2 linked regions of the Oryzias latipes genome follow. The protein of the gene in region 2 interacts with the protein of the main gene of each other region in a pairwise test. Links are inferred from orthologs where the notes say so. Each region holds a gene or a part of one and is shown on either strand. Other genes may lie near its edges.

Region 1 (16,034 bases), on a different chromosome or scaffold from region 2:
CCAAAAATAATCACTCTGTTGAAACAAACAAGACAAACCCAGGAAAACAAAACACAACATTTGCTGACTTTTGTACCACTTTAAACTGTTAGTCATAATCTACATCGACGGGGGAAAACCCCCAATACCCCAACAAACTTAAACTGAACCCTGGCGAAACTTATCAAGTTATATGAATATTTCATTAATTCTCATTATAATGTTTTGCATTGGTCATTTATTGATATTTCATGACATTTCATTTATTTCCTATTGATATTTCCATGCAAGATGTTGGTCTATTTTGCTATATTGCCACTCTAATTCTACCATCTTCTGAACCTAACCAATTCAAGCTAACAGGACTGCTGGAGCCAACCCAGCTACTGTTGGAAGGCCAAAGCGTGGTTCACCCTAAATGCATCGCCACACACCTAGGGGCGATTTGGTAATACCAATTAACCTATGAAGCATGTTTTTGGACTGTGGGAGGAAGTCCGAGTGCCCAGAGAAAACTCACGCATGCAAGGGGAGAACATGGAAACTCCACAGAAAAGGACCCAGCTGGAATTTGAACCAGGGCATGTGAGGGCGCTTTGAGGCGCTGCACTACCCCACCGTGCATTCTAATACCCTCCATTTCAATTCTTACAGTTTCTACTATCAAGCAGCTTTCAGCAATCGGAAAGATGCTGGTGAGCGCAAGATATAACAAAGCTGGGAGCACTTAGAAAATGAATGTGTGTCAGACAAAATGTGGTGCATTCAGATAATGGCTCAACTGTCTGGGCAGAGTATAGAATCATTTTAACCAGCAAACAATTCAATAAGAAATATGAATACATGTATTTATAGTCTCTCAATGTTTTAAAATTCTGTATTTGAATTTTCCTCTGTCATAAGTGTATACTACGAAGGTAAAGTTGCTACAATACACTAAGAAAGCCATTAATATAAAGATAACCAAAACAAAAACAATAAAACAGTCAAAGTTTCAGGACAAATTTGAGGAATTAGAAGATCTATTTTCTGACTGGCATTCATTACGTATTATTGCAGTTTTTCTTTAACTTTGATGATATAACTGTACTGACATCTCTCAGTGGAAGTGAATACGTTGCCTGATCAACACTACCACCTTGTGGAAGAAGGTGGCACTACAAACATTGTTTTATCTAAAAATCTGGATAGATCCGGCTCAAAGTTGTCCAAAAACAAAACATTTTATAAGGAACAATGTCTTGTAGACCATTCACCTTTTCCACTTTCAAGCAAATAATCAAACTATTAGATATTCGTTATGTTTGATGGAAAAAAAAACTGTGTTGTAAGTTTACTGTCAGTATAAATGCAAATATGTCTATTTATGATAAGGAGTAATTGTAACGTCAAAATAGCATCATCTCCTAACAACTTAAACAGATTTAATATACTATTTTTTATGTCTTTTTTCCTCGTTTTTATTGCTGAAATTGTTTGGAATACAACAAGCACTCACGTATGAATCCTTTTTCCTGAATTAAGAAATGTTTTAATTGCTGGAAGAAGAATTCATTCACCATGAGTCCACCTTAAGTTACGTTGGAAGCTTTTTTGAAACTATTTTTATCAGGGAACACTTGGCTGATGTCCTAACAGGTCCAGACATGCTGTTTACGAATCTACTCAAAAAACTGATATATTTCAAGAGGCAGAGCAAAGTAAACAAAAGAGAAAAAAACATTATGCCTCACATACGAGACCATCTGAAACGTAGTTTGCTGATGAAAACACAAGGTAAAAAACTGTTCTTTAAATTTCCCCTTTTAATTAAACATGTAATGACTCTAAAAGTGTAAAACATTGAAAGATTGAAACACAATGAGCCTAAGAACTAAAGAAAGCAGTTACTTTAGTGGACATTCACTTTTGGGTTACTTAATAAAGAGCACAAGAAAAAAAACAGGAAACCATTTATCTATGGTGAACCTATAGAGATAAAATGTATTTTTATGCATTTACTTACAAACAAACACACACACACAAACTATTCAAACATCAAAAAAGAAAGAAAAGACTTACAGATAGGCTCCAGATCTGCATCCCGTCCGAATAACCAATCATGAGGCAAAGGGGGGGGTCTGAGGTGCCACCATGCATCTCTATGAACTCCGGGTTTCGAGCAGTGTCTACATGCAGAGAATGTTCAGTCACAAACAGTTCTGTATGAAGTACACCAAAAAAGGTAACACAAAGAGCTATCAGCAATAAAAAGCGGTAACAAGAAAACAGTTGCTATAAATATATTGCTGCTGCATGTATTGTTCTGTCCCTCTCATTTCCATGCTTTTTTTAATTTGACATCTTTAAGGTTGTTTTTCCCGAATCCTAGACAGTAATTCCGTAACATCAAAAGTTTAAAGTGATGATCAATAAACTATTTTTTTTATGTTTCTAGATGCAGATGTTACTATTAAACAAATAGGATCTCTGCATGACTTTTTAAAGTTATAAAACCGATATTTAGTATTTTCTGAGCGCTGGCAGCTACGCACTAACGTAGATGACGTCATCAAGTGGTGGTAACGTCCGGATTTGAAGTCGCTATATTTCTATATTTCTTTGCTTGGAGGGATAAATGTAGGAGGTAAGGAGAAGCTGGAGGGGTGGGGAATGAATTTGGATTCAGCCTATGTGGTCCATGTCTATCAGCAGGAAAAATAAATAAAAAGACAACTAAATATGATTGACAAACTGCAAAATCTTTTCAGCAAATTTTTGTGAATGCCATTTAAAACGGCCACATAAAAGTGACATGCAATATTATATAGTAACATGTATTTAATAATAGATAAATATGATAATATAATAAACTACCTTGTTCATCATTGTTTGATTGTTGTAATGTAAAACTATATTTGAAAATATTACTTTTGAAAGAAGAAGAACATCATAGAGTTTCTACATTTCCTTTAATGGATTTTAATTCCCACATCTACATATGGTAATTGGATCTTCCCCTCTCCATCTAGCTTTTGCGTGTCACTCTGAGGCCTTAAGCAGAGACAACTGTCGATTGTAACCAGCTCTCCGACTGACTGGACTGTCCTGTCAAACAACATGAACCTTGATTTTCCTCCTGGTCAAAAACAAACCCAATAGCCACGGACACATCCACATTTGCACCAATCCGTCTTGATCAGGTTCCACGAATTTACAAAACGGAGCCCTCAGCCATCTTCATCTGATGACTAGGTTATGCTCAGCCACAAGCTGATTATCTATATATTATATGTTAGTTATATACAGAATTAACAAAGATTGTCCTAAGGCACCACACAAATCAAAAAACAAAAGAAAAATTACAATTTTATATTTCAAATCGTTTAAACTAGTTTAAAATTGTTATGTGGACCAGTGAGGCTAATTTGCCTTAACTGTGTTTTGATTATATCTTATTTACACCAAGGCCCAGTATTTCATAACTTTGGATCAGGATTAAAGTGATCCAAATGACCAAATCCTCTGATCCGACTCCGGGGATCAGACATTTTCATCTTGGTATTTCAAAACTTAGCTGGATCACAACAAATCACCTAGATCCACTTGAATGGGGATTTTGGGATGACCCGAAAGAATCAGAAAGATGAGAGAACATGGAAAAAGGCAGAGCTTTCTCCCGGATCAAGAAGAGCCTATAAATAAGAAGTGCTAACCATGAGAATGTAGTTTCTTTAAGAGCATGAAAAAAATCAAACTTTTCGTGCTTCTGCTCAATCGATCTGGCTGATTCAGCAGGAGACTCCCTTTTTTTTTAAACATACTAACAAAACCTCCCTTTAATTCTTCTCTGCTTCTTTCCAGGTGCATTTCTGTCTGGTTTATTTAAAGATGTGACCGTGCAGTAAACCGACACATTTAAATGTTTTCTCGTCGCCGGTCTGAGGCTGTGGAGCATGAGAGACCTGCTTCTCTGCAGGAGTTCATGTGTTCGATTACACTTATTTAAATGTTGAGCCGATGTACAGTAAGTGTGTGAACTGATGAGTCTCTACTGTACTTCGTATTTGCCTTTTCCACATTTTAACACCTTAAACAAAACGTGAAATGTTCAACAACTCCTCAGACAAGAGTGGAGCCCTTTGACTCATGAACTTCTAAAACAGGATTCTGGATTTTGTCTCTGTTTTGAGTGTCCTCTGAGGTTAAGCTGCTTTTCTGTTAATAGATGTATGTGTCTGTATTGTTGATCTCAGTATTGAGATAATCTACAAATTTAATTTCTAATAAAAAGATGAAAAATTCAAATTGTCTTTTCTGATTAAAGAAAATGAACCATTGTCAAACAAGAAGTAAAAATAAGTCACTTACTATCAGCAGTTTAATGATGAATGAGCTGCATGATTTTCTTTCTTTTGAGAAAGCATGTTGAAATTTTACCAGTATTCAACAATTGCAGCACAAAATTTTAGCAGTGCATCTTTTTCTTGCAACTTTCATATTTTTTTTGTTTTTGGGAGGGGGGGGTAAAGGAGAAACAGGTACTAGATCAGCCTCCTATCCTGCTCTCAGCTGGGATCAGAATAATTCTCATTTTCAGAATCAAACGTATCCAGGAATCTATCCAGGTTGAAAATCATGTTTTTTGAGTTTTTGACTTGTACGTGTGGCATTTTCTTTATAAAAGACAACAAATGTCATAAAAAATCCATTTCATTTTTGGATTTACGAGTTTTTTTCCTTTTAAATCGCTGTCAATCAAAGTGCTGCAAATACACTCGGTTTGAATTAACGAGTTGTTGTGATGTCACAACGGCCCAGGAGCGCATGTGCAATGCACAAGCTCCCCGATCTGCCCTGTCCGCTGTGCACATCAGCTCAGGTGGCACATTGCTGCATTCCCCGCACGTATACCAAGTGTGTCCCAGGCGGGATTTTGTTGTTGGCCACACGTTCAAATCCCAAATGTGTTCTCCACATTGCTGTTCTCTCTCTAACTTTGAAGGCTTGCTGTCCAGTATTACCCAGAGAGGGTAAAAATAAAAACAAGGATAAAATTAGGGGATAGGAGAAATATCCTAAAGTTCTGGAGGGCAGAGCACGGCTCCCCATCCCGCATCGGATCTGTGTCTGGCCGCCAGCTCACCTCCCGGGAGCCGGCATAGTGATCGGCTCCATCTCCATCTCCAGCTCCATCCGCCCTGCCACAGTCTGTCCAGGGTGTTCCCGCCTCCACCCAACAGTAGCTGGGACGGGTACTGTTGGGCAACTGTTGATACTATTGCACTGCACCCGCCACTCAAATCGCGCCGCTGAATCGCTTTCACTGTGAGCGCAGTTTAACCGTAACCTGTGATCCTAAACTTAACCCTAAACTTAAAAAAGCTCAGCACTGGCCGCACATATTTTGAAAATAACGTGTAAATGGCCACTATTTTTATGGCAATTCATTCTATTTGCTGTGAAATGTGATTCAACAATCTGCTTGTGCATCAAATCAGTTCTGAGCCACAGCCAGTGCTGCTGCAATGTAGCCTAAATTATAATGTCATTCAAAGCATTTTTCATGGACTAATTAAAGTTATTTTTTATGTGTCATTTTATCAAACAGTTGGGTCTGGTACACATATTTTTTTTGTTATTCTATACATTGTTCACAAAGTGTTGATTTGGAACCAAAAATATATCAATTTTCACAGTTTCTTTATAACTAAAGAGAAACTTTTGAGAATAGAGAGTGTTGGTCAGTGTCTCTTGTGCCCCCCCCCCCCCCCCCTTGTGTCAAGCTCTTCACTCATGCAAGACAGATATCATTATCAGAAAGGGCGGAGCTACCCAACTCAGCACCAATGGCCACGCCCATGTAGAGGGGATTTTGGAAAGAGGGACTTCAGATAAACAGGAAATATGACTTTTTAAGACATTTAGGTTGTGAGATTTTGGTTAAAAACTTCATAATCATCACAATCTTCATAAGAACTAGGGTTGTGCCGATGGACGATATCATCGTCCATCGTGATGGGTGACTGACATCCCGATGGAGAGACCACCATCGTGATGCCACGCCCCCGCCATGTTGCGCGTCGACACCATAAGCCGCGGTTACCTGTACAAAATATCTTGATGGGATCAATGGTCAGATTAGAATCCAACCGTGTAGATGGGCCCAGAAAAATGTGTTCAGAATATAAAAACGTTCACTAAGGTCACAATTTCGGTAGGAATAAATCATTCGCACATGCGCAGTTTGAAAACCGGAAGGGGATACAACTTCCGCCGAGCGTTTTTTTTCCCAAACTTTATTGAATGTAACAATTCAATACAAAACGATAACAGCACCGAGCGGCTATATATATTGACATGTCAGCTCGGTAATATATGAGACGGTCTTCTAAACGTGCTTTTAATAATGTTACGGTTATTATGAAACACCTGTTCGCTCATCATTTGAATTTTAATCCGTGTGGTCAGTGCTTTTTCTGAACGGAGACAGGATTAGCAGTATGCTAACACGGGCTAACACATTAGCTTTGGGTGGCGCTGCACGTAAACATGTAAGAATAACATCAGCCTTTATTTAGTCGGGACACGACTGGAAACACAAATCCACGTGATTGTTTGAATGTTTTCTAAGGACTGAGCGACATTTCTGCTTTGAAGCTCAAACCGCTGTGTGTGTGTGCTGACGATCCGAGCTGTGCTCAGACACACACTTTTAGACCCGGTTCTGAGTTCGGTTGCTTGTACCCCTAGAGCTGCGGGACGGATCGCAGTCTTAAATCTCCCACACATACCGCTCATGTACCCCACCCCCCCCCCCCCCCCCCTTCCCATCAAACACAAAGCTTTAAGTCCGCGCTCCGCCGGTCCACTTCACTAATTAAGTGCGGGAGCGACTACACTAATTTTCTATTTTGCTTGTTACTTTTTCTGTTAAAGTCACTTCCCTCAGTTTATACTGGATCATCGCGGATTAACCATTAGTTGGGAAATAAAATGAAAAGAGCAAAATAACGAATAGCAGTTATATAAGTATGAAAAATGTAAAAATACCCCCCCCCCCCCCCCCCCCCCCCCCCCCGACGATGTCATCGTCCATCCCGATGGTTGACAGCAAACATCGTCAACGCCAAATTAGGGGACATCGCCCAACCCTACTGGGAACATTTTTGCTTTTAACAAATTGTCATAAGGGGACTTTAAAAAAGGATCATGTATGCAGTCAAGTATCACTTGGTGGAAAAAAATGATTTAAGGATTGCCAGACAAGCTTTTGTATGAGGCTAGTCATGAAAACCCAAAGGTCAAATTCTCTTCCCCTGGTTAATCAGGAGACATCCAGCAGTGCACTGGTTCTGGGATGTTCACACAAACTGACAAGGAGCTGAAGACTTCTGCAAAGTTCACACCAAACATGGTTCACACGTCAAATTCACATCCGCTGAATCTCTTTTGACTCGTGTCAAATTTAATTGCTCGACACTTGGCCAAAACTGTTTTCATAAACTTGACACTGCTGACGTGTGGAAGGAGCTACCGTCAGTCAATTTGTTTTGCCTCATCGGTACACGCGAGCATTGACTGCAGCTCACATAGTCAATGCACAAAACGAGGATGATGTTGAGAGAGCGGTACTTCCGTCTCTCTGTGACCCAGTTTGACCACCAGGTGGGAAAAGATGTAAAAAAAAAAAAAAAAAATCAAATTAGTGGACCTCTATATTATTGTTTCCACACAAATAAGAATAGAATAATAATGTTCGGGTGGAGCGCTTACAGCTTCTCCTGATGGTTTTCACTTCGCTCGCTGATCATATCACGAACACGTCATGGGCCAAAGCTGAATTCCTGGATGATTTACGGAACGCAAAATGGATTTACCTGCGCTTTTCCAGATGCTAAAAGCCCTTCCATTGTGTCCATTATTCATTCACACTTGGTGATGAAAAGTGGCTGCCAGTTAGCGCCTACGGTTGTATAAATGGACACCGGGATCATTCACAGAGGTAGGGAGGGGCTTGCCCAAGGGCCCTCACTGGGTGATGTTAATTGCTCGCCATTGATATGTTATCATTGTTGATTCCCCTCCGGGAATCGAACCCTGGATTCCTGCGTGGTAGCCTTTCACCTTACCAACCGAGCTACCCAGCCAGGAAACATTGTGTTGCGCTGCCGCCACACAGCCATAACATGCCAACCTTTGATCACGTCTGTATGTTATCTTAGCATTGAAAATGGACATGAACCACGTTTGTTGCGAACGTAGCTTTATCCTCATGTAACGGGCAGCACAGTCTCCAGCATGTATGATGTGATGGCTAGTTCCTTTTTGTGGTGTGGCTGATCCCTGGACACGTTAGAGGGCTTGTCCACTCCGGCTTATTTAACACTTACCATTGATGTCAGCTTTCTCAAACCGAATCCAAATGATTTTCTCTTTCTCATCAGAGGGTACAGCACCAGTATAGGCCTACAAAAGGAAGAAATACACGTTTTCATTTTATTTATTAGCCATATAACAACAAAAACTGAATGATATACTGTGATCCAGTGAACTCTTCTATAGGTTAGAGAGGATAGACAATGGAAGAGTTCAAAGTCATAGTCTTTGCATGTTTTTAAAATGGACAAACACTGATATTAGATTATTATTTCTCAGTATATGAAACACCTTTGTGAGATTTAAAGAAGCCAGGTGTGATACTTTCCACCTTGTAACATCCCATTGTAAGCAGTACAAGCTTTACAAAGAACTACATTGTAGGCTCTGTCATTGGTTAGTATTCATAAATACACCAGAGATGGTAAGGAGATGGAAATGCAGGCTTTCTGCTTTAGTAAAGTTGGAAAATCTACCACAGAAAGTGGGGAAAATGGTTTCAATCACGTCAAAGTCTAGACATCAACCCAACAAATCTGTGGTGGGACCTGAAGAGAGCAGAGCGTAAATTAATGACTGCAAATGTTCAAAAACTGAGGCATAGTTCCAGAAGGAAGCTTAAGAAAGATGCTTAACATTGGTGTCCAAAATGCATGAGTAATACAGACAATTATGCAAAGCTGTATTTGCCAAAAGCTGCTAATAATAGGATGTTTATTTTTTACACTTGTAGTACCCAAACCTGACATTTTCCAGGCTGCAGACTGTTATTCTCATGTAGGTGACTGTAAGCAAATTATATCCTAATTCATGTTAGTACAACCCACAATCCTAAACATGCCTTACACTTAATATAAGTGTATTAGTGAATGAATAACAATAGTAGTATTTGTGTATTACCTGTGGGACAACATCCTGTAAAAAGGTCACAACACTTTCCATGTACGACTGTTCCCTGTCAAAAAAAGGAAAATTAATCTGGCAGGTGTCCCAAAAACCAGTCTCACTCCTGGATTTGTAAGGAAAGAAAACCAAATTCAAATGTCTGTGTCTCATTATCAAGCCCCTGCAGTGCTAATGCTTTAAAGCTGATGCGTTTGAGCAACAAACAGATGCATGGCCTATTATACATAAAACAAGACACACAAACACTCCAGATTAAAGTTAAATATAATGAACTCTGGTTGAAGACAAACATCAGTGGAGCCACTGCAACAAAATGGCATGGATTTCTAGATAACAAAAGTTTCTTCTTACGTTGCAGCTTGTGCTCGCACCAAAACTCCTCCAGCACAGCGACTCGGTCTGCGTGGAGAGTCCGATGCCATCTCTGTGGCTTCTTTTCTTTATTCTGAAAAGCCAGAAAGGAATCATAAGGAGGATTCAAACAACTCCAGAAAGATGTCATGGTTTGTACCTAATATTCAACTCAAGAAACTCTAAGTTCTGTGACAGATCTTTTCAGAGAAGCAACCTTTTTAGAAGCACTAACCACATTTCTGCCTTAAAACACGATAGCATTTGTAAGCCTCTGAAATGTTTTCATGATAAAGTATAGATATCTATACATGGTTGCTTTTATTTAATAGCTGGGAGACTCAAAAACCATGTTCTGCTAGCAAAGAGCCTTTGTTTACTGCATTTAGGATGGAAGTCAAATACAACTGGTTATTGCCAATCAACACTTGCGTTCTGTCCTATTATTATTATCATTATTATTACCTAATCTTCGACAGACGTTCATGTGGAAACAATCAAAAGTTAACCAAAACAAAGACACGTCGTATCGTGTGACGTGGATGACGTTGCTGTCATCCACTGAGTGAGACAGCGTCTCCACTACTGGACGAAAGTCCTGACATGCCTGTTTTTTTTGTTTGTTTTTTTTTACCCCCAAAACGCTTCCGGAACTAAGCCTCTCCAAACCTACACTTTCGGCAGCTCGAGCACCAACCCGGGCATCTGTCAGCTGAAAACACCCAGCTGCTGGCAGCAGAGAGACAGACAGGACCCAGCAGCTAACTAACCAACAGACCCAGCTAGCTACAGCTAGCTTCCAAACGCACCGCTGCTTATTCAACAACATCACTGCAAACCTGTCGTTCGACATTTACGAATGTGTCAGACGGCAATACCTTTAGAAAATGAAGCGGTTCTCGGTTTGGACTGTTGTCCGCTGGAAGAGCTGCCAGTACAAAACCTAAACATGCACTGTATTTGCGGAACTGTGTTGTGAGTAGACAGCCAATCAGAGAACAGCAACAACCTCGTCAATCCAATCAAAATGCTGAGAGGGTGTGACGATTTCATTTCGTCTGGATACATATATTTTTAAGTTGAAACAATAAAAAATAAAATAAATAAAAATAACAGACAGTGTATGAAGTTTAAAGGAGGATTAAAAAAATCTTTCTGGTACAGGTGAAGAGATTTAAATGTCTGATGGTTTTACAGAGATTGATCTACCGTAAGTAGATTTATCATTGTCAGGTACAGTGTTTATGCTTTTCTTAATTTCAGAACAAATAAATTAAGATCCAAACCTTTTTTGTATACATTATTATAAGAAAGCAGTTCATTCTTGCAACCTTATTGTTTGACAGTGTTATCAGATAACTATTTAAAACACAAAACAATATTCCATCGGTTATCGTCTGTTACTTTAACCATCATAAGCCATGAAAGACTGCAGACTTATTAGTTTCTACTGACATTGCACATGGAAGATATAACCATCTCCTCATTTTGTAATTTCTCTTGCACAAAATTGGAAAATAATCATTGTTTTTATAATTCTTGACTCTATGAATGGAACACTTTTCCTCAGGTCAGGTAACTTTAAGTGGTTTGCTTTGGCTCAGCTTTTTCTTTGAATCTCACTTGTAAACTGCTTTTCCAAAATGACTTCATAAATGGTAAATAGCATATACTGATGTCGTAATTTTCACCTTACTTGATGGTCCAAAGGGCCTCACATTCACCCATGTGCACACATACCTTTACACACTGATGGCAGCTCTGCTCCCTAACACTGGTGCCAACCTCCCACCAGAGGCAAAGTGGGGTTCAGTGTCTTGATCAAGGGTCAACCGCCCTACCGCTGCACCACGGCCGCCCCAAAAGGAACTGGACTGTTTTTCAGTGGTATACAGTAGTATTGTCACTGAAAATATTTAATATTTAAATATTTCTATAAATTATTTTCCCCTTTTTTAAGGTTACAGAGTCTGAAGAAAGAGAGGACAAGCACAGCATCCAATTTACTAGATCTCCAGTCAATGATAGTTTGGTTACACTCATCTGACCTAAATCAGACAGAGAATTGAAAGCATAAAAAGAAAAATGCCAGACACATATGACGGTGTATTTCATAATGCACCAAATTGCTAGAGGAAGCTCTTTACCATGAGTCCTTGACAAACAGGTTCAACAGTTTTTATATCAGAATCAAAATCATGTATAATATAATTATGTATATTTCTTTCTGGTTTTAAGTAATAAGTTTTCATTAGCTGTAAGTTCAATGTCTAAGAAGTATAACTAATATTTTTCATGTAATAATTGTACATAAAAGTTGATTTTAACGTTGTTGTTTTTTTGACATTTTGTTATATACAGTTGGACCAATATACATATAATTAGTATAAAGAAATAAACATAAAATTAAACTTACAAAAAGTCATGAAAAAGCTCCCATGCTAAAAGTGAAACATCCATAAGTTGAAAACTTTGTCACGTGTTCCCGTAAAGGTCAACATCCATACAGGTGCTGCTAGTTTCTGGGTTGTCAGGGCCCATACAGGGTTGTAGAGAGCAGGGGCTGCATCTTAACAGAAGCGCAGGTTCAGGTCTTGCTGTTCCCTTCAGGCGTAACCCTTGTGCTATCCTAGGCATGTGAACATTGGGTGTGGGGTCATCTAGACCCACTAGACAGTGCTCTGAACCTTTTTCCTTCAATGATTTGTGATCTTCACTGGTGTCCATGGATTACATGAAATCTTTCCACCTTTATCCACCTTTGTCATGGTAGGGAGAACACGTCAATGTAAGGGGGGGGGGGGGGGGTCATCTAAGATAGCACAAGGGTTAATTGACTACCTTCTGGAAATGGGATGTACCATTGTCGTATGTGCGTTAAGATTATTGGGAAATATTGGTAAAGATAATGCAAGTCACTCACCCATGACGTACGAGTGATGCTTTTGAACAGCACCCACAGCACTCCAGTAGTTACTGAGGTGCGTGCAGTGGTTCCTTTCTGACTGTGTGCAATGACGCACGGGGTGTGCAGGTGATGTGCAAGTGCCCGCAAGACACCTGTATGTCCACACAAACTACCCTCGGAAAATCTAGTTTCCTCATTTCTAAAAATCAGGCTTTACGGAAGGAGTGCACGCTTGACACTTAAACAGCACTAACGGGCTTACTGGGCAGTCTGCAGGATTTCAGGGGGTCGAAAAAAAAAAACACACCTGCATCTCACCAAATTCACCCTTTATGTGTTGCTTAAGTGTTTGCTAAGACCTGTCGCCCACAGCTTGCCCGTAGCAAAATAGGTGCATGAACATTTTCATAGACTGGGGTCTACAAGCTTAAGTTTTTGTACGGACCACCTATGTGCCCTGCAAAGATTTGACCTCCATTTTTCACTTGGACACACCCCGTATCCACCTGTTAGGGCAGTTGTGACTAAAGCTTAATAGGTTTAAGTAGTGACTACATTAATGAGAGACTGCTTTAGTGGGTCAAAATGTGGAGAAGAATTTATCATTATTATTATTATTGTTATTATTATTAATATTATTATTTGTGATGTCGGTGCTTTCATCAACAGCGACATCCAAAAAATGACTGGATTCCTTCATTTGGCGCCCAAGTCACATCAGAGATGTTGGATCTGCAGTGGTAATCCTTGACAGACTTATGCTGGGAAAGGTTAACTGCTTTTTGGGGCACAAGACTTCTGCAGCCTTTAGCATTTTTTTAAAATAAATTCAATATAAATGGTTATATGGTTTAAATGGTTTAGATGTTTGCACCAACTCATTTGCAATAAGGAATCTGTCTTTCTTCATCACTGACGTCACGGCTCCAGTAAATGCAGACGGCATGCTCCATCACCTCTCTGAAACTACAGAAAAATAGTCTATAGGGTTAGGCTTTTCTAGAAAACTGGGTTTTATGTTAATGGTTAACATTGGTAAAATAAGGGGAAACAAAAAACTTTAAAACTAGTAAAAACAAAAATACTAGTTAAGGTTCAAATAGATACCAGGGGTATATTAGTGGGGAAACATTTAGCTTAAAAACTGCTGTTAAGGAAAAAAAGGGAATTCTTGGTTTTTACCGTGTGTCCATTTGGTCAAAAACCCGCACTTAAACCCAAATCCGTTCAGACAGGCAAAGGGAATGGTATCCTACAATTCCTTGAGCTGCCAATCTAACAGCAGCACCAAAGTTGCACCTACTTAATTGGATTAATTTGAATGAAAGTAAAATAAATGTCTGATAGCTACGTGCTATTTTTAAGTTCAACTCAAAAAAATGATTTATCTTAACTGAAGCAAATAAGTAAGTTAGATCAAAGTAAAAAAGTTTATCTTTAAAACATGGATACGTGGTCTTATCACACCCTCTTACGTATGATCTGAGCTTCTTCATCCACTAAATCATCTTCAAATGGACACGGCATGCTGCTTCATCTCTCTGAAAACAAACTAACCTTCAACTAACTGCGCCGTGCACATACCTGCAAAGATCATCTATAACGTAACCACATAGGTTAGAATTTCGACGTCACTTTTTAGTCATCGTTCCAGAAGGTCAAAAAGTCCTGACTTATGCATGAGCTCAAATCCATTTCTGGTTGAATTTTATTCTAAAATTTATCACAGTACCGCAAAAAGAAAAAAGACTATTTCTAAACAGCAGATTTCTGAAGTTCTCATTTAGAAAAGAATAATAAAACCTCTAGTCTGTTTAAAATTCAGTAAAGATAAATTAGAAGTTCAAATTAGCATGCTTCAACAAAAAGTAGTTAAAATCAGCATACTTGTATTCTAGTTGGTAGATATCTTCAAAAACTAAATTTCCTCTGCACAGCAGATGCTCTGCTTCTCAGTAATGTTTTCCTGATGAAAGTAGATCACAGAAAAAGTATCAAACCAAGGAAATTATCTAGATGTGCACACCGTGTGTAACTCGGTGTGAAAGAGTTTATAATTCACTTTTATTTTCTTTTGTGCCAAATAACTTTAGTCAAACAACCGTTGTTTGAGAGTTTTCTTGGAGACTGGAAAACTCTTATTGGGCTGCACGGTGGGATAGTACTTAGAGCTTGTACTGTATATTTCTTAGGTATTTAATTTTTCATGTATTAGCAAAGTACGGTAATTTTCTTTTTCAGAGTAATTTTTCTGTTTGAGACCGCACTTCTTCATATTGTTGCTGCCGTTTGCGTGCACAAGCTAAAGTCCCACACATTCTCAAATCCTGTAAACCTTTAACCTCAACATTAAAAGTTTGCTAGGAACTGGCTTCTCTGTGCTCTGCTCTCTGACCGGCGCTCAGTTAAAAGAAGGTATTAGGCCTGCATTTCCCTCCAGACTGTTCAAACTCCATCATAGGGTCCTTTGAGCCGGATCTGTAGTTTTATGGAGTGTAAATGGCGTCAGAACAACCTTATGCAGATACAGTGGTGCATTCTAGACTTCAGCAGAGAGACTGCTGCCAGCATTTCTTCAAAACTTTGAAGTTGGTTATTTACCAGGAGTTACACGCCCCCAACCTATCGAGTTGAGGACACTGGAGCAACATGGGGGATACAGACCAGGAGCAGCTTTCACTGCAGCCATGTGGGGAAACAAAGTCAAGCAAATTTTCTGTCTTTTCAAGTCTCAGACTCTCAGAATAGTGCTGTCATACCTACAGGACATGTACTGTATCCTCCAAGGTCCAGTAGAGAGAGTCTATCTGAACTACAGACAGCCATGTTGGAGGAGCAGGTGTTGCATTGAGCTAGCAGAGGTGAAAGGGGCAGATGGAGGAACAGGTGCTCGTATATGAGCTGAAATGCTATCAGTGAGGAAAGAAAACCTTCTCAGAGTAGAAAAAAAGCAAAGATGTATGCTTAGGCGAGAAGGCAGAGTTGGCATACAAGAGTAAAGAAGCTAAAACCATACACTTTCTCAAATTTTGTAAACCTTCGATATGAAAAGTCTGCGAGGAACTGGCTTCTTGCCTTTCTCTCTGACTGGAGCTCAGTTGAGGGAAGCTAATATACAAGCATTTCCCTCCAGTGTTCAAACTCTATCACAGTGATCTTCCCTCACTGCTTCAAATCCCAGCTGGCACCTTTCTGTGTGGGGTTTGCATGTCCTCCCAGTGCATGTGTGGGCTTCCTCCCACAGTCCAGAAACATGCTTCATAGGTGCACTGGGATCTCCAAATTGCCCCTAGATGTGAGTGTGTGTAAGCAACAAACCTGTTCAGGGGGAATCCCACCTTTCTCCAACAGTAGCTGGGTTACCCCCAGCAGCCCCATGACCCAGAAAGGATGGAAAACTCGTGGTGCACAGGTGGAGTGGTCGAACTTTTTTTGGAAGATCACATGTGTTGCAATGTTCTTGGGCAAGACGCTGAACTCCACATCGTTCATGGTGGTTATAGGTTGGCGCCAGTGTAACACAACTGCAATC
Region 2 (16,353 bases):
GTCCAAATTCAACAACTCCTTTAAACGCGGCCGGGTGTATCCTTCTATGCTGTCCATATCCCAAGCTGCATTGCGGCCGAAACCCAGAGACTTTCTGAAAAAATGGCGGACTGTGGAGCGGGACCCGGACGGAGTTGGAGATAATACACCTTTTTAAATTACACCTCCAAGACTAAAAGTTGGATCAAGTAAGCCAGGAAAATGTTAAGCTCCATGCCTCGTTCACTACTCCTCTCTGTTCAGGACTTTTGGTTGCTAGGTGACAGGACATTCGCCGATGTAACGGCTGGAATTATCTAAAGGCTAGACTTGTCCAAATTGACAGCCGTTAACGTCCGGCCTATCCGCTCCACAAAGGACCCAGGCCTCGAATTTGGACGTAGCCAAAGACCGTTTTTGGTTAGGTGGAACATTTTTGCTCCATTTGAAAACAAATACAGAACGTTTTTATTTAGTATTTCTAAAGCTACTTCCCTTTGATCTTTGTCAGGACCTATCTTACTTCCTGTTAAACCCACACATAGTGAAGTTTTTAGTTTTGTAGTTTTTGTCGTGTGTTTCCAGAGAATTAGTGCTTGAAAATGACTGTTGGTGGATTTCTTCCTGTTAAACCGTGAATGAAACCGTGAATGAATAGGAAAATGGTTCTGCGCTTGACACAAAGTTTGTATGTGTTTTTAAAGCTTTTTTTTTTTTTTTTTTGCTTTTCCAGACCTGATTTTCCTAAATATTTTCTGGTGTTTAAAGGTCGCCGACTAAAACATTCTTCTGCTGACAGAGACCGCTGATCCATTTCTGACACTTTCAAAGGACTCAACTGCAATAATTTTCTGCTTTCTTTAGAAAAATGAAAAAAACAACCAAACATGTATCATAGGAAGAATGAACTACCCAACAATTGCTGGCTCACACTTTCAGATTTAATTCCCGGCTAACACAGACGTTTGTCGTGACAGCTAGAATCGCTTCAACAATGAGTATAATCTGAGTCCAGCTTTAAGTGTAACAAATTACTGTGTTGAAATCACAAACGGCGTTCTCCCACAGACAGCAGATCAAAATAAAGAAGCTACATACCACGCCCAGGGTGAAGAAGTTGAAGAAGTAGTCGTTGCATTTGGAGGGAACTTGCTTGTGAGGTGATGGAGAGTGGATCTTCATCTGATTGTCAAATTGTGGCCAAACACAAAAAAACACACAAAAAAAAAACAGGAAAAGTTGAGTTTTTCCCGTGTTAGACAGCATTGTAATGAAGCGCCGCTGCAGTGACAGACACCAGCGACGGCGACGCGCTCCCACCTTGTCCTCTGACTTGTAGAAAACTTTATGGGGCGAGCCCAGAGCGCCCAGGACATCCTGACAGGAGTCTCCGAAGAAGATGCTCCTGTCCATTGACCGGACCTTGGCGTCAGCCATCACCCCGACACCCGAGCCTGCAGCGACCCAACACACCCACAGCAGTGAGACCTTCAAGCTCCAATGCCTGTCCTCCTAATCAAGGTCAGGTCATTTAGAACAACAATGTTGTTTTACCAAGAACAAAGAGGGTAACATTTGACACATGACAGCCACCAGTGCATTAAAGACTGACAGTCTCACAGCAACTAACTACATTTTTTGTTGCTTGGAAGATTTTAAAAAATCCATCACTTTATAAAAAGTGTGTTTTTTCTTCAAAAATCTCATTTTTGTAACACCCACATTACTTGTTTGCTGCTCTTTTTTACTTACATAATGTTCTCAGTGGTCTTGTGTTTTTGTAAACTTTATTTTCTTTAAATATCTTATTTTCTTTCGTTTATCAGGACAAACTACCCAAGAAGCTGTTCTCTTTTTGGGTTTATAATTTGAAACAAATTCAGTAAATAATTGTTGGTTCATCCCTGTTAACCGACATGTTTTTGTTTACCAAAATGCAAGAAATAATCATCACAACATTAAACATAATATCTTCTGCCCTCTACACATTTTCTTCCATCTTTACAGCGCCCTCTGCAAACCGCTTCACTTGTTCAAACCTTGATGATGAAGGAACATTTTGTGTCATCCACTCTGAACTGACGTGTTTACCTGCAGCGAGGAGGCGGAGTTTGAGCCCCAAAGGACCCGCCCCATCTCTCAGGACATCCACGCACTCAGCGTAGATGTTTCCAAGAAAACAAGCCAGCGGCATTGGAGGAGCTCTGAGGACCCAAACACAGCTTTAGTTTCTTAGTTCCTCTTAAATGCTCGACACTCTCTGAAACTCTCTTTTTTTTTTTGTGGTATGATCACCTCGTCTCCTGCAGGTTGTTGCCAGTGTAGATGTGCATCCTCCTAACCATGGCTCCATGTGGAATCTGCATGGATGCCAGGAAAGTTAGGCCAGGCTAACAAACCGGATTTCATCCAAAAATAAAAACCTTTTTCTAAATTTACTTTTATCGTGATATCTAGCTGTGCAACACACATATCGGAAAAGACGGTGAAATCCTTAAATGTGCTAAAACAATCTTATGGCAGCTTGAAGTATTTAACAAATCAGATAAATCCATTTGTGCATTTGACCAATCGGATTGACCCCCTTTTGATGTTAGATGTTCGTAGACGAGGGTCCTTTTAGAGTATCATTTAAATGATGCTGACTCATTTAAATTAAACTGTTGCAGTGAAATGGAAATGATGTATGTACCGTAGTTGTTTTGCTGTTTGTTCATGTACCGCAGGTTATATTGTCATCACAATATTGATCACTAATATTTTTCCTCATATCGTGCTGCCCTACTGGAGAGGTTTTATATTCGAATTAAAATCACTTCAAAAATGTAACTTTTATTCCACAAGACCAAACGATGACTCAGATTTACGGCTTTTACATTTGTGAAGGTGAAATGTGAATGTTGGCATAGGTCACTGTGACATGAACTCTTCTTTAACTAAAACATGAAAGAACGAAAGAGCACAAAGTCATGGGCTTAGAGAAATCAGACTCTCCATTGTATTTATAGAGCATGTATTTACTGAATATAGCTTATACTCAACAACAAAAGAATAAGACAAAGAAGAAAAAGCTAAATGCCTCCATTTATTGAAAAAAAAAGTTTTTCTTCGTCTAATAAAAAGGTAAATCTAAGAAATGTTTCTAAAGACTTCAATATTTCTTCTATTAACTTTTTACTCCAATGTTTTTAATATAGTCATTTATTTTAATGCTCTGTGAAGACGATGACTTGTCTCTGCGTTTAAACGAAGCCTCCAAATAAAAGTAAAGCTGTCTGGCTTTAAAACAGAAGTAGAAGATGAAACCCAGAAGAAGCTATTATGGGTTTGTTTTTGGTCTGAAGCAGCCAATATTATCAAATTGAGTCTTCAGCATAAAAACTAAATGCACAGAAATAATAACTGCAGATTATGAAGCCATACGCACACACGCATGCACAGAACTCAGCCTTAGACTGTCACCACAAAGCCCAATCACTCAAAGCTCCTGTCTGACCCTCACAACACTCCAACGGGGTCGTTCAGATTCCCTCACCTCATATTTCGGCGCTTCGTTCCACGACTCCAGCTGGAAGGAGAAGGACAGTCCACGAAAGTTGAGATGGAACAGCTGCTCTGCGGGGTTGTAAACTGGACCAAGATGTGGAAAAAGAGCAACAACAAAGTTGGAGAGGAGAAATCAAACACAGATGGACCTGAGCGTCAGCTGAGTTACCTCCAGGGTGCGTGGCTCCAAAGGACTGATCTATCTGCTCTATCGTGGGGGCGATGGCCTGAGAGTTGAAATGCACTCCACTAAAACAAAGACAACATCACATCCATTATCATTCCAGCAGGCCGAGTCCAGACCGAATCTAAGCTCGAAGATGCAGTAAGGTTCCCCGCTCCACCACAGCCCACGCTTAATTTTGGAGTCTGAATTTGATCTCACCAGTATTTTAGCTTGACTTTGCTGAGGTCATACACCTCGATCACCTTTGACACAAAGAAAAAAACAGTTAAAAAAGGACAGGTAGTCACAGCCGAAGGCTTGCAGCGCTGCTCAGAGTTTATAGTATTTAGACTTTCACCTTAAGTCTCTGGTTTGTGGCATCAAACAGCAGTTTAATCCCATCCTGAGTCAGGTTCAGTATGAGGTCGTGGCTGAGAGGCGTCTGCAGCGAAGCAAACAGTCATTACTGAGGCAGGAGGTGGTCCTTCACAGGCAAACACATCCGTCAGTGTTTCACAACCTCCTTGACTGCTGTTTTTAAGGAAGAACAACCCGGACAGAGCCAGGCCGCAGACAGAAAACTGAAGCCCGGAGGAGGCGTTGAGTGCTGTCACGGGCTGTACATATGTGCAGTCAGGTAAACTGGTCTACGAAAGAAACCTTGTTACCTAGGAAATCAGCTAACAGGTGCACGTGCAATTCCGAAACCTGTTTCCCACACCTTCATGACCTAATAGACATCACGACCTCATTCATCACGCGGCACATCTATTGACAGTGGAATGAGGAGTAACAACATTTAAGAAGCGTCAATTTCCCTGAGGAAATCTATAAAAGTTCTCCCAACCTCATTTCTATGTTTAGATGAAAACCAGGTTACTCAAGAAAACACAATGCAACATGGTAACTTAAAGACCCACAAATAGATCCATGTTCATCTCATTTTCCTCGTCTGAGCTGGAATCTGACTCGAAACTGTACGGCTGGATGGCTCCAATATTGTTCGCCGTTGTTGTTGTATCGCTAATGTTATGTTGGGGGTGTGAGGGCTGTAAACTAGTGGGAGAGCATGTAAACAGAGAGCTCTCAGCAACAGGGTGGGGAAGGTGGAGGCAAGGCTGCTCCGAGCCGACGTTCCCGCCCACAACTCAGAGGTGAATTTCTAATGAACTACAGCTGCTCTGCAGATACTGTCCTAGAAAACGACACCAATTTATTGAGTTGTGCTAAAAACAGCTCAATCATTATAAAAAGACCACTGGGAACACTTCTGAAAAAGATCCAAAGATGACCGGAGATGGACTTTAAGTGCACTTAAACAAGACTTTTCATTTAGAAGGGAAAAAAGGAATACTATCACAGGAACAAGCAACAGGGCTGGAACATTTTGAGCTATAGTAATGTAAAGGTGGAGTGTTTTTACATGCGTTATCTTTCTCTGGGTCACAGAATTGACAGTGTCAAAGTACGACAAACAGTCAGTGATGGAGCTGCAGCTTTGTCCAATGACCTAAAGAAAATACCGCTCATACAGGTTTGTCTAAACCTCAGACTAGATGACATATTGCGTTAAACTTGTCAAAAAGCTCTGCATTATATGTAAACTCAGGGTTTAGGCTCCATAAAAAAACAATTCAAGCATTTTCAAGGTCAGGTAGGTTAATTGCCATAACTTTTTTAGAAGGCGAAATTTTGGATGTTTACACAAACACCCGTGTAGAATAAATGAAAATACACGCTGAACATTTCAAACTCTGAAAAACAAAATTTACATTTTAGAACTTTTTAAAGACTTAAAAACAAAGACTTGATTCGCCTTCATGGCTTTTACAAAGTCTTCAGACTCACTAACTGCTTACATGATGACTGGATCAGAACCAAATTCCTTTCATGGTAAAATCTGAACCTGTTGGTCACACTAAACTTTCAGCTGAAGTTAACAGACACTGACTTAATCCCCAAAGACAAACAAAAGATAAAAATTATGACAAAGACAGACGTTTTGTTCAAAAAGGATTTACAGACTCACTCCGATCATCTTTTGATCTATTTTCAAAGTATTCCCAGTGGACTTTTAACTATGAATATGCTGTTGTCTGAGTTCACTTCCAAGTTGTCTACAAGCTTTAGCGTTAAACTTGTCAAAAAGCTCTGCATTATATGTAAACTCAGGGTTTAGGCTCCATAAAAAAAACCAATTCAAGCATTTTCAAGGTTCGATTCCTGGAGGGGGATAAACAATTGTACTGGGTCAATTACCATATCAATGGCGAGCAATAAACATCACCCAGTGAGGGCCCTTAGGCAAGACCCTTAACGCTACTGCTGCGGTTAGGCTGCAGCTCATCGCTCCCCCAGGGGATGGGACAAATGCGGAGAAGAATTTCCCCATTGTGGGATAAATAAAGTATCAATTATTATTATTATTATTATTTTCCATCTGCATTAATTTGTTTGCTTCTGATTCACAAATATTTGGAGAAAGAAATACTCAGAAATGCAATTTGAAGCTTTTTTTTTATAAACCAGTATACGTCTTCCAACATCAGACAAATGCTGCATAAAAAATGTTAAGAACACTGAAAACACCATTCATTGGAATATTGTCTTTTACAGAATTTTCTAAAATGTAGGGGAAAGTCCTAATCTTATGCAAATGTAATTCATCTAGAATGTTTTTGGATAACAGAGAAACTCAGTCCTCTCACCTGCTCACTGTACAGCACCTGGACATTCTTGATGATGCGGCAGTGTTTCTGCAGGATAGAGACAGCCTGGGAAAACGGCATCCCTGGAAAAAGAAAAAAAACAAGCAGACATTAGGTGTAGTTGTAAATGTTGTTTTTGTTTGTTTACAAAGCGATGACTGTCAACCACCCACCTAAGGCGAACTCCCATTGCTCATTTCCAAGTGATCTCTCAGGGACCACCTCCAGATCCAGCATTGGCAAGTAGATGGGGGCAACTGCGCTCACCTCAAGACACAACAGGAGCCACAGAGGGGCCCTCTTCTTCTGTCTGTCCCAGATCACAGCGCCCGATCACAACAGGCAGCTGCTGATCCTCATACCTGGACCGGCTTTTCTGTAGCTGCTCGATCTGTCAAAAGCCTGTCCTTCTAACTCATGTCATGTGACCTGGATGTGGAAACGTCACCACAGACAGGAGCCAGAGCGGTCAGATATTCACAATGACCGTAGTTAGTATTTACAGAGGAAGCCTGCGAGTTAGCCAGGAGGCGATTGCTCAACTTATCAGCAAAACTCAAAGTCAAACAGACCAGACCAGCTGTCAGGCGAGCAAATGCTGTTTGTGTTTTCAGAAATAATTGGAAAAAAAAACAATAAAACGACCCCCTCAAAATATTAGTCCAGATAAGTAATGGGAAAAAAAATTCACCGTTTGTTCACAAGCGAGATATCTGAAGCGATGTTTTCTTTGTTGTTACGCGAACACATTTCGGCTACATGCCTGTGTGTCCGGAACCAGCGGCACACGCAAGAACTGCAGCCCCAGATGAAGCGTCCCTAACCGCCTCTGGTCCTTAACGGTCTGAGGGAGAGAAGGGGGGTTGTTGTTATGAAAGCTTCAAACCTGGACTCTTTTCTTCGAGCTTCGTCGAGCTAACGTTAGCGTCTGCTAGCCGTATCGTCCAAGTCCCTAAAATAAAGTGCGTTAATATACATAAAAAAAAAATCCAGAATCAGTTACTTCATAGGAGGAGATTAGACTGATTTCTTGACCGAGACAAAAGCACGGGTCTGTTTTCTTTTCTATTCTTCTAGGTTTTACCAAACTAAAGCTTCTGAAAAGCTAGCTCTGCTGTCGCTGCACGCGAGTAAACAAGTCCTAGCAACCGGGCACGTGCTTCGTTCCTCGTGAACTCCAAAGCCGGTAAATGTCCTTTGTGTCCAAACCGCAAGCTTTGACGTGTCTTCACCGCTGCGAGCAGAGAAGAGGGACACCAAGTCCAAACAAGTCCACACATCAACAACAGCAGCAACCAGCTGATCAGACAGCTTCCGGTGCTCGTCGCACGTCCTTGGCCGACGTGATGACGTCATAAAGATTTTCTCCCTCACAACCAAATTTTCCTTCATTCGTGACTTAAAGATTGTAAGGAAGACACAGTCAATCTCTAACTACTAAAAAAAACTACAAAGTGCCCTGGATTTTAAAAGCATGCTCACTACTTTTTTTTTAATGGTGAATAGGACATCATAGAATCCACAAAGTGAAAATCTAATCTACAATAACCATTTATGAATCCAATGTGTTCTGATGATAAAAATGTTAGTTTATTGAATAAAACACATTTAAACACTCTTGCTGCCTCGTATGGCTTTCCTGGATTCGGGTGGTTTAAGGACACCAAAGATCTAATGTGCAGTGTGAAAAGAAATAAATCAGACAAGACTCTGCATGAAAGTTCAAACCATTGCAAAGAGGAGATATGACAGATGCATCCGACACCAGCAGGCGAAAGCTCTGCTGTTATCTGCTCTCTCTGCTCCCAACAGAGCAACATGTAAAATAAGTCAGTAGGTACAGTAGATTTTGCCGCCATTCAAGGATCGTCGTGTCCGCATCTCTAGTCCGCAATCCACAGATGCCTCTGTTCCATAAACAACAGCACGGAAAAAAAACCTCAACACTCCTAATCTGGTGATGCATGCCAGTCCCGTTCAGTTTACAGCATGCGACTGCAAGTGTTATTGCCACACACACGAATATAAAGAATCAAGTAAATGCATAATCAAATAGCATACAAACATAATGGAATCCCTGATCACCTCCACAATACTTTCTTTTTTTTTTTTGCAAAAATTGTTTAGACGCAATGCATTGTGGTCTATTTTCGTTAATCTAGTGAGCATCGATGCACACTGGTTTTTCGCAGAGACTTCTGGGAAATTTCTAGGGCACTCGAATTTGGAATTGTAGATTCAGACAGCACTACAAAATGTAGTGAGTAGTGGAGGAATTCAGGCACAACTCAAATGTACAAAACCTAAGATAAAAGAATGCTTGACACTAGTTGTAAAAATAGAAAATAAGCCTGGAGAATCCCCCAAAATGCAATTTTCCATTATCCCACCCCCTAGTGTCCAGATTAAATCATACAAAAAAAAATTAAAGTCCCACTCCAACTATATTTTTATCCTTTGTAAAAGCGTTCCCAGAGGTATTTTAATTATGACTATGCCGTTTTTTGGCAAAAAAGAAAAACAGTCTTTGAAAAAAAAAAACAGACATTGTTTTCGCAGAGCAGCAGGAGTTCATTAAAAATTTGCCTCAGAGTTGTGGGTGGATCAGTTGGCGGGGAATTAGCCCTCTGCTGACATCCCTTTATCCTCTTGTCAACACTTTGTTGCGCTAGTTTACAACGCCAAAAGAATGGGTAGAGCAAAGGTATCTCCTCTCTTCTATTTTTCATAGTCTTACAACAGTTAACCTAGATTGAAGGTATCATGCTGCCCTCTGCAACCCTGGTACACACATATTCAGATTAAGACTATCGTTTGTTTTTTTTACTTATTTAGATAAAGAAATTTGTCCTCTTAGTCATCAGTAATAGTTATCTAAACAACTATCTTGTAATCCAGAGAGAAAGCTACTATAACTACAGATTTGTAACTCTTGTTACCTGCATACTTAGGTAACAGTGTTGCACTAGGTTTTGTAATCATCAAATATATAATGTAGTAAAAGCTGCACAATTGATCTGTAGGCTGAGCTAACACATGTTAATCAGGTCATTGACAGTTTGTGATCTTTTCTTGATGATTATGTTGCAGAAAATCAAAAAGCGATGGTTTTACTTTTTTACGAACAGCTCTCCACACCGGCCAAGGGTGGCTATCCAGAGCCAACCGAAGTTCCGCAGCGCTCTAGTATCGTCACGTCTAGGCGGGATTCTGACTTAGAGGCGTTCAGTCATGATCCCACAGATTGTAGCTTCGCACCATTGGCTCCTCAGTCCAGCACATATACCAAACCAGCTGTTCCTTTTGTGCTGAGCTGGATTACCATACCATGCCAGTGGTGAAATGGCTAGCACTCTTGCTTCAACGTGAAAAGGACCTGGTTCAGATCCCATATACTGAGAGAACATTCCTGATGTGTTCAAGTCAATGATTTGCTTTCTCTGGTGTGTGACGAGCTCCTTTGACTTTCCCATTGTAAAGGCCCGTACACACCGGGACGAATATTCGCCAGCCATTATTCGCCAGCGTTTTTCAACACGTCTTTTGTGTTCACACCCAGGCGATTTTCGCTGACGAAGATCCGAGCGAACATGCAATTTCATTCCCTGACATTAGATGGCGCTTAATGTAAAACAGAAATACTCCTGTACACAAGGTGGCGCTGCACAACTTTACGCTTATTAAACTCGCTTTTCACCCAGAAGAAGAGAGCAAGTATTTACGTGCTTGTCAGAATCATACAAAGAAAACATGAATATTTCAAGCACCAGGAGCTCCAGCTCCAGTTCCAGCGATGAAGAAATTATTGTTCTGTTGAATGATGAAAGACGGCGGAAAAGACGCGATTTTGGGTACATCCAAGTTACGAGAAGAGAACATGGGGAGTTTTATCGACTGGTACAAGAGCTGAAAATGTATCATGAGCGTTTTTTTGGGGATATTTTAGAATGTCCGTCATTATTTCTTTGCGGCAGTGTAGACGCTACTTGGCGTCTATCTTCTTCGCTGGTATGTGTGCTCAGAAAGGCAGTTTTGTGTTTGAGCACCCCCAAGTTGTTTTACTGTAACTTCAGAAGCTCCAGACACGTGTGCAAAAGCGCCATTCTCATTGGTCGAATAGTTTTTGACGCGGCGCGTCAAACCAAAAAAACGAACCCGAGGCGTTTTTAAAAAAATGACGCTTTGACACGTGGCGTTTTTCGCGTCGGTGTGCACACTCACATTGGTGCCCTTTGTTTAGTCACGAGGCGTTAAACGTCACTCACAAGAAGCTAAGAGACCGTGCTTTGAAGCTCATGTCATTGACACAACTTTCTAAGTCACCAAAATTGCTCCTTCATGCAGCTGTAAACTTTTGACCCAGCAGATTTATTCACATTTTCAATGGACCCATAAAATTCATAAAAGTACAAAACTTCATAAGTGCTTTTAATGACACAGAAGTGGCTGTTCCAATCACTCTATCAGAGAAAAATAAGAGCTGCAGAAATAACAGGTAACTCAAGACAGCTCATGACATTGTGTTCTTTACAAGTGTATGTAAACTTTAGAGCACCACTGTAGATTCCAGTGGGATTGACATCAGGAATATTTTGGGAAATAAGCAGCAATTCAGGAATAATTTGATTTTGTGTCAAAAAAAGAGTAACGTTCTCTGAGTTATCAGATATTTTTCACTTTTTATTGTAATTTTGGTTTAATCCAAAGCTTCTTGTAAAATTTTACAAACATGTGGTCATAAACGTACAAACACAAATCATCTGTTGGCTTTTTAAGTTAAGAACAAAATCAGATTGAAAACATATACATGTGTCGGATACAATAAGATGAAACCGTTGAGCTTCATAAACAAAATAAAAGAAACAATCTTCTTCAGAAAGTCACAAAATATAAAACAGGAAAGCTGATGATGTGTCGAGCATCTTCATTAAATATAACATTAAAAATGCAAGCAAAAAAGAAAAAGTTGTCCAATCTCCCAAATTTGTGGAGAAATTTAGAATAAAAAAAACAGATTTATATAGAAGAAGGTGTGACTGCTGTTCAAAGCTGACACCAAAATGAATGCACACGCAGAGGAGAGAAGATGACAAAAAGTAAACATCATGACCTTCACACTAGCAAAAGCAGGATTCCAACTCACAGAAACATTTCATTCCACTGGTGCTGTGACGGGGCGGGAAAGAGAGCGCTGCTTCCGTGCAGCGATGCAGGGTTCTGGACAGGCATCTTCTCTTTACACAGCTTCATTTTGATGTTTCCTGCATGTTTTGATGCAACCGGTTGTTTCGGCTTGGGCTTCATCACCGAGCAACTGGGTTCCATCTGTTAACATTGCTGTAACTTTACACCGTTCTGTGCTAAAATTCACGAATCATGAAAAAAAATTTGAGCTTGTTTGTAAAGAATGGAGGGGTGGGGGGTGAGGCTTCGGCTCTGCCGAAATGCAGTTTGGAAGACAAATGATCTCTGAGCTTCCTCACATGCTTCCAGAGACAAAGACTGAGCGGCAGAATTGCAGTTAAAGCTTCTAAAATCTGTTTTCAGATACATTTATAAATCACTGCAAATAATTCTTCACCCTGCAGCTCAGCGTAAGCCATTCTTCTTTATTTTAACTCAAAATTTGTTGTGGAAACAAAATTTTCATTCTTCCAGCAAAGCAAACTTTGGTCTCAGAAAAGGCAGTGAGCTCAGACACACAGCCGTATTAACAGAGGTGGAGGTTTTCTCCTTTGCTTTAAGTTTAACGCTGACTCAGCTGCTGAAACCTGAAAGTGACCCTGAGCTACAATATCTTCTTTTTCAGTTTCTTCTAGTTCCTCCTCCTCACCCCCCTAAAGTCTTCCATTATATTTTTTCTGTCTTATTTCTTTCCATGAACAGATATCATCATTTTGTGTATAAAAACTGTCAATTGAACACTTATACATGTGGGCAGAATTGGGTCTCCTACTGTTGAGTCCTTCTTTTCAAAGCTTATATTCACTTTCAATTCAATCAGTTCAATTTTTTGTTCAAATGAAACAAATCAGCGTGTGAAGAGGATCACATTAAACCTACTGAAGCATAATGTGAAACATTCTGCAGCTGTGGCTTCACGTGACTTCCAGCTGATTGTGTTGAAAGTGAACAGCCGTAGATCTCTGCTCCTCTTCCTCTTCCTCGTCAGCGCATCTTGTGTTCCATGTCAGCGTTGGCCATGTTTGAGCCAGGGCTGGGGTCCTGCTGTCGTCTGGACTGGGGAGAGACAGGGATAGGAGGATGAAAGAAAGCAGAAAAGGAGAGGAAAGAGAGGGACAAATGAGACACGGACAGAAGAAAAAAGAAAGAAGCAGGAGCAAAACACTGCATGAAGTATAACTTTCAAAAATTTAAAACTAGCACTAATCCATCTCAGTTGTTCACTTTATAAACCTTTTAAAGGAGACATAAAATAATTTTCATGTTTTAGAGCTAAATATCCTACTAATGTCTGTTTATTTATTCATTTTAAAAACAGAAGCATAGCAATAAATGACAAAAATGTCTTTGGATGAAGTTTCTAAACGTATTCAGTCTAGGCCTGAAAAAAGGCAGAAAAATCGATTGAATGAATTAATTTGAATTTTTGGTTCCGGGCAATTTGAAAAATAACTAAATCGAGTTTTTGTGTAATGGCGCATTTTTGGCTACCGGTGAGAGTGGGAAGCTCACGCGCTCATTCCTCTTACACACACAGCCCGCTGACACACATACACATAGTCATTCTACAACACCTATATAGTTAGTTCATTAGTTAGATAGTTTGTAGTTAGTTGTTACTGTTATTTGTTAATAAAGAATACTGCGTTGTAATTATTACTTGTATTTTGTGTTCTGCGGCGGCAGCGGGGGGTGGTGGGGGGGGTTATCGATCGCGACTCCTGCTGCTTCATCAGCGCGGTGATCAAAAATCCCACACCGTCACAGCTCTAGGTTATATCTTGTGGGACACCAAAAAAATGCGACTTCTCCAGTACAGTTAGCAGAACCGTTGAGGTCAGATCTTAACGATACTGCGGTCTTGAAGAATGTTGCCCCGGGGCTCGTTCAATACCGGGGCTCGGTACCCATCCCTAGGAAGGGTGCACGGTGTAGAACAATCACCGAAGCGGTCACTTTGCATATAGCTAAAGACATGGTACCCATATATACCGTGGAGAAGACGGGGTTTATTAATTTAATTAAAACCTTAGACCCCAGACATGAGCTGTATTGTAAATCCTTTAGAAAATGGTACTACTCTCAAGGTGAATGTTTGTCTCCTTTTAGTCTAGACTGCAAAGTGTGACTTAAAGCACAGCTGGGACTTTGATTCCAAGAGTGTGTTCATTTATTTATTATTCATCCCAGAAATGGGGGTTACATTTGTCTTGCGTTTGATTAAATAAAAGCAAAATTTGCTTTAAGTTGTCTGCCGTTAGTACTTATTGCTTTCCATAAGTGTGTGTGTGTGTGTGTGTGGGGGGGGGGGGATCGGGGTGTAATCATGTGCTGTTACAGATCAGAATTAGCTTTAAAGGTGATTTTTCACGTTTTTCCTGGTTAAATAAGACATAGTAAAAGTTAGTCAACAGTTAATTTAAATAAAATGTAATAAGATTAAAAAAATAAAATACAAAGGATCCAAAACTGTAAAGTGATCAAATTAATCAAAATGCAATTCTTTGAACTGCCAGTAGAGGGAGACAACAGGCTTTGGAAGAAGTTTAGGTCAGTGCTGCTTTTTATACACTTTACTGATGCTGATATTTTAGTCATGGCATCTGGCAGGTTGATAAACACTCAAGCATGAAGACTGTCTAACAGATGCACGCATAGCTACACCTATAAGGCTATTCCATTGACTGTCCTTAATTTGCACATCTTAATTCAAGCTGTAACCTTAACCATGACCATGTTCGGTGCTTACCTAACCTTAACCTAAACCACCTTTATTAGACCTAAACTTGATAAGAAATGTTTTAAGCGATGTTCCTCTGTGTCCTCATCAAATCAACAAGTCCCACAAGGTACCAAATACAGGTACACACACACACACGCATGCATAAACTGGATCATTAGGTCATCAAAAGAAACTATGAGGCTGACATGTTTTTTAAAAATATGTCGTGACTGCATGTTTGTGATGCCATGGTATGACCTCGTGCTGCTGTAAAAACATACTTGTGGTCATGTGTTTACACTTGGGTGATAGCTGAGCAAGGAATGTGGCGGCTAAGAGGTGAGAAGGTGCAGTGGAGGTGAGGCGGGGAGCAGACAGAAACGCAGACAGGAGAGTGAAGGGGGTCACTTAGTTCAAGCGGAATGTAGTTTGTGTCATCTCAGTGACTCACCATAATAGCAACATACTGACTATCATGCACACAAACACACACACAGCAGGTCATGCTGCCATTTTGACTCCTTGCAGCCAGACAGTCTCGTCTGAAACCATCTCTGATGTTTGATGGAAACTGCTGCTTTGAAATGCTCACATGTGGCTCAGTTACAGCAAAAACCCTGTGTGAAGCGTTTTTAACAAACATGTTACTGCCACAGTCTGGAGCTAGCTGGTAACATCCAGGCTTCACACTGTATCCCAGGACAAATGCAAATGAGCAGCTTCTACGATGCCTGCATGAGGTGGCTATTATATGTTTGACTGCATGTGGTGTCAATCGTTTTTGTCCCATTAAAAATGTTTGAATGTTGTAAACAGAGAAAAATTGTTGAAAGCAGCAGCTGGAAGCCAAGTTAAGTCTGGCTAGTGCAAAAGTTCTGTTTTTTTTGTTGTAAATTACTTTATTCCAATTTATGTTTTCTACTTATTATTTTTTTCTGAAGAGCAACATTAATATAAAGTTTTCTCCCAGAATTTTATGGATCCACATAAAGCTCACACCTGATAAATAATCCTTAATCATTGGAATAACCATTTCACTTTTGACTTATATAAAAATATGATCAAAATCAAAATCTTTGTGTAAAAAAATGATTAAATGCATCACCAATACCTATAATTCTTTTATTAACAGATTTTTTTGGTCTAAAACTATGTATATAAAAAAAAATAACTTGTACTGCTCCTTAAATGCAGAATTTTTGTTTCTGATGTCAAAGTATAAAATAAACTAAAAATGAAAAAATGTTTTTAAAAAGATTACAGAGAAGCAGCAATAATTTAATTCCAGATTTCTGACTTTTTTATGTGAAGACAGAAAATCTTCATAGCACAGTGTATTTTTATATAAGTGTATTTTTATATTTTGAGGAGCCTTTTAGCTAACAAGTTCTGTGTAGCCATTTAAGTGATGTTCAAATTCCCTAGAGGCAAATAAAATAGTCAGGATTTAATGATATAATAATGAATACTATTAATACCAGTTAAATTTCTTAACAATAAAGGTCTTTTTATTGAATTTGTTCATAAATCAGGGCATAAAGAAAACATTATAAGTTAGTTTCTCACACATATTTCATAAAAGTTGGGAAAAACTAAGATGCATTTTTTAAATTTAGAAATGCTTTCTAATTTTGTATTTTTTGGGTCTTATTTGAACTACCACCAAAGAATAAATTATAGTTTGAAGACGTAAAATATCTTTCTAAGGACTGTTATCCACTGACATGTTAATCAGTGTTTAGTCATTAAATTTTTGTTTTTCTTATTTGCTTAAGGTAGAAAAATAAAAAGGAGAAAGTTATGTTTTTTGGTTAACAATGTTAATTTGTTAAAAAACTTTTGCTATCGAAATCATTAATTTTGCCTATAAAATACTTGGATGTCTTTGATTTTGTGGCCTATTTTTGTGTTTCAAAGGAATTTGTTTTTCTGTCGTTAACTAACCCTGATTTATCGTCTGATTGGAAAATATATATCAGTTTGTGGATACAGAGGATGAAACCTGTGAATTCTCATCAAGTTCTAGGCTCACAAAGTTGAATTCACAA

What was found.
Region 1: the proteins of c6h16orf70 (region 2) and bcas3 interact in binary tests that used the Homo sapiens proteins (3 or more experiments, as listed by UniProt). The link is inferred for Oryzias latipes from reciprocal best matches to the Homo sapiens genes PHAF1 and BCAS3.

Annotation. Positions count from the first base shown.
Region 1 is NC_019871.2:29,562,534-29,578,567, reverse strand, and holds the start of bcas3 (breast carcinoma-amplified sequence 3), read right to left. Parts: upstream 10,599-16,034; 5' UTR 10,473-10,598; intron 9,689-10,472; 5' UTR 9,666-9,688; coding exon 9,595-9,665; intron 9,293-9,594; coding exon 9,238-9,292; intron 8,428-9,237; coding exon 8,352-8,427; intron 2,148-8,351; coding exon 2,041-2,147; intron 1-2,040. UniProt on the Homo sapiens protein: Plays a role in angiogenesis. Participates in the regulation of cell polarity and directional endothelial cell migration by mediating both the activation and recruitment of CDC42 and the reorganization of the actin cytoskeleton at the cell leading edge.
Region 2 is NC_019864.2:26,086,443-26,102,795, reverse strand, and holds the start of c6h16orf70 (UPF0183 protein C16orf70 homolog), read right to left. Parts: upstream 7,730-16,353; 5' UTR 6,637-7,729; coding exon 6,573-6,636; intron 6,483-6,572; coding exon 6,400-6,482; intron 4,134-6,399; coding exon 4,050-4,133; intron 3,955-4,049; coding exon 3,911-3,954; intron 3,775-3,910; coding exon 3,695-3,774; intron 3,610-3,694; coding exon 3,515-3,609; intron 2,340-3,514; coding exon 2,275-2,339; intron 2,184-2,274; coding exon 2,071-2,183; intron 1,434-2,070; coding exon 1,300-1,433; intron 1,162-1,299; coding exon 1,078-1,161; intron 1-1,077. Other genes in the region: cbfb (core-binding factor subunit beta), read right to left, coding at 12,568-12,639. UniProt on the Homo sapiens protein: Plays a regulatory role in autophagic activity. In complex with BCAS3, associates with the autophagosome formation site during both non-selective and selective autophagy.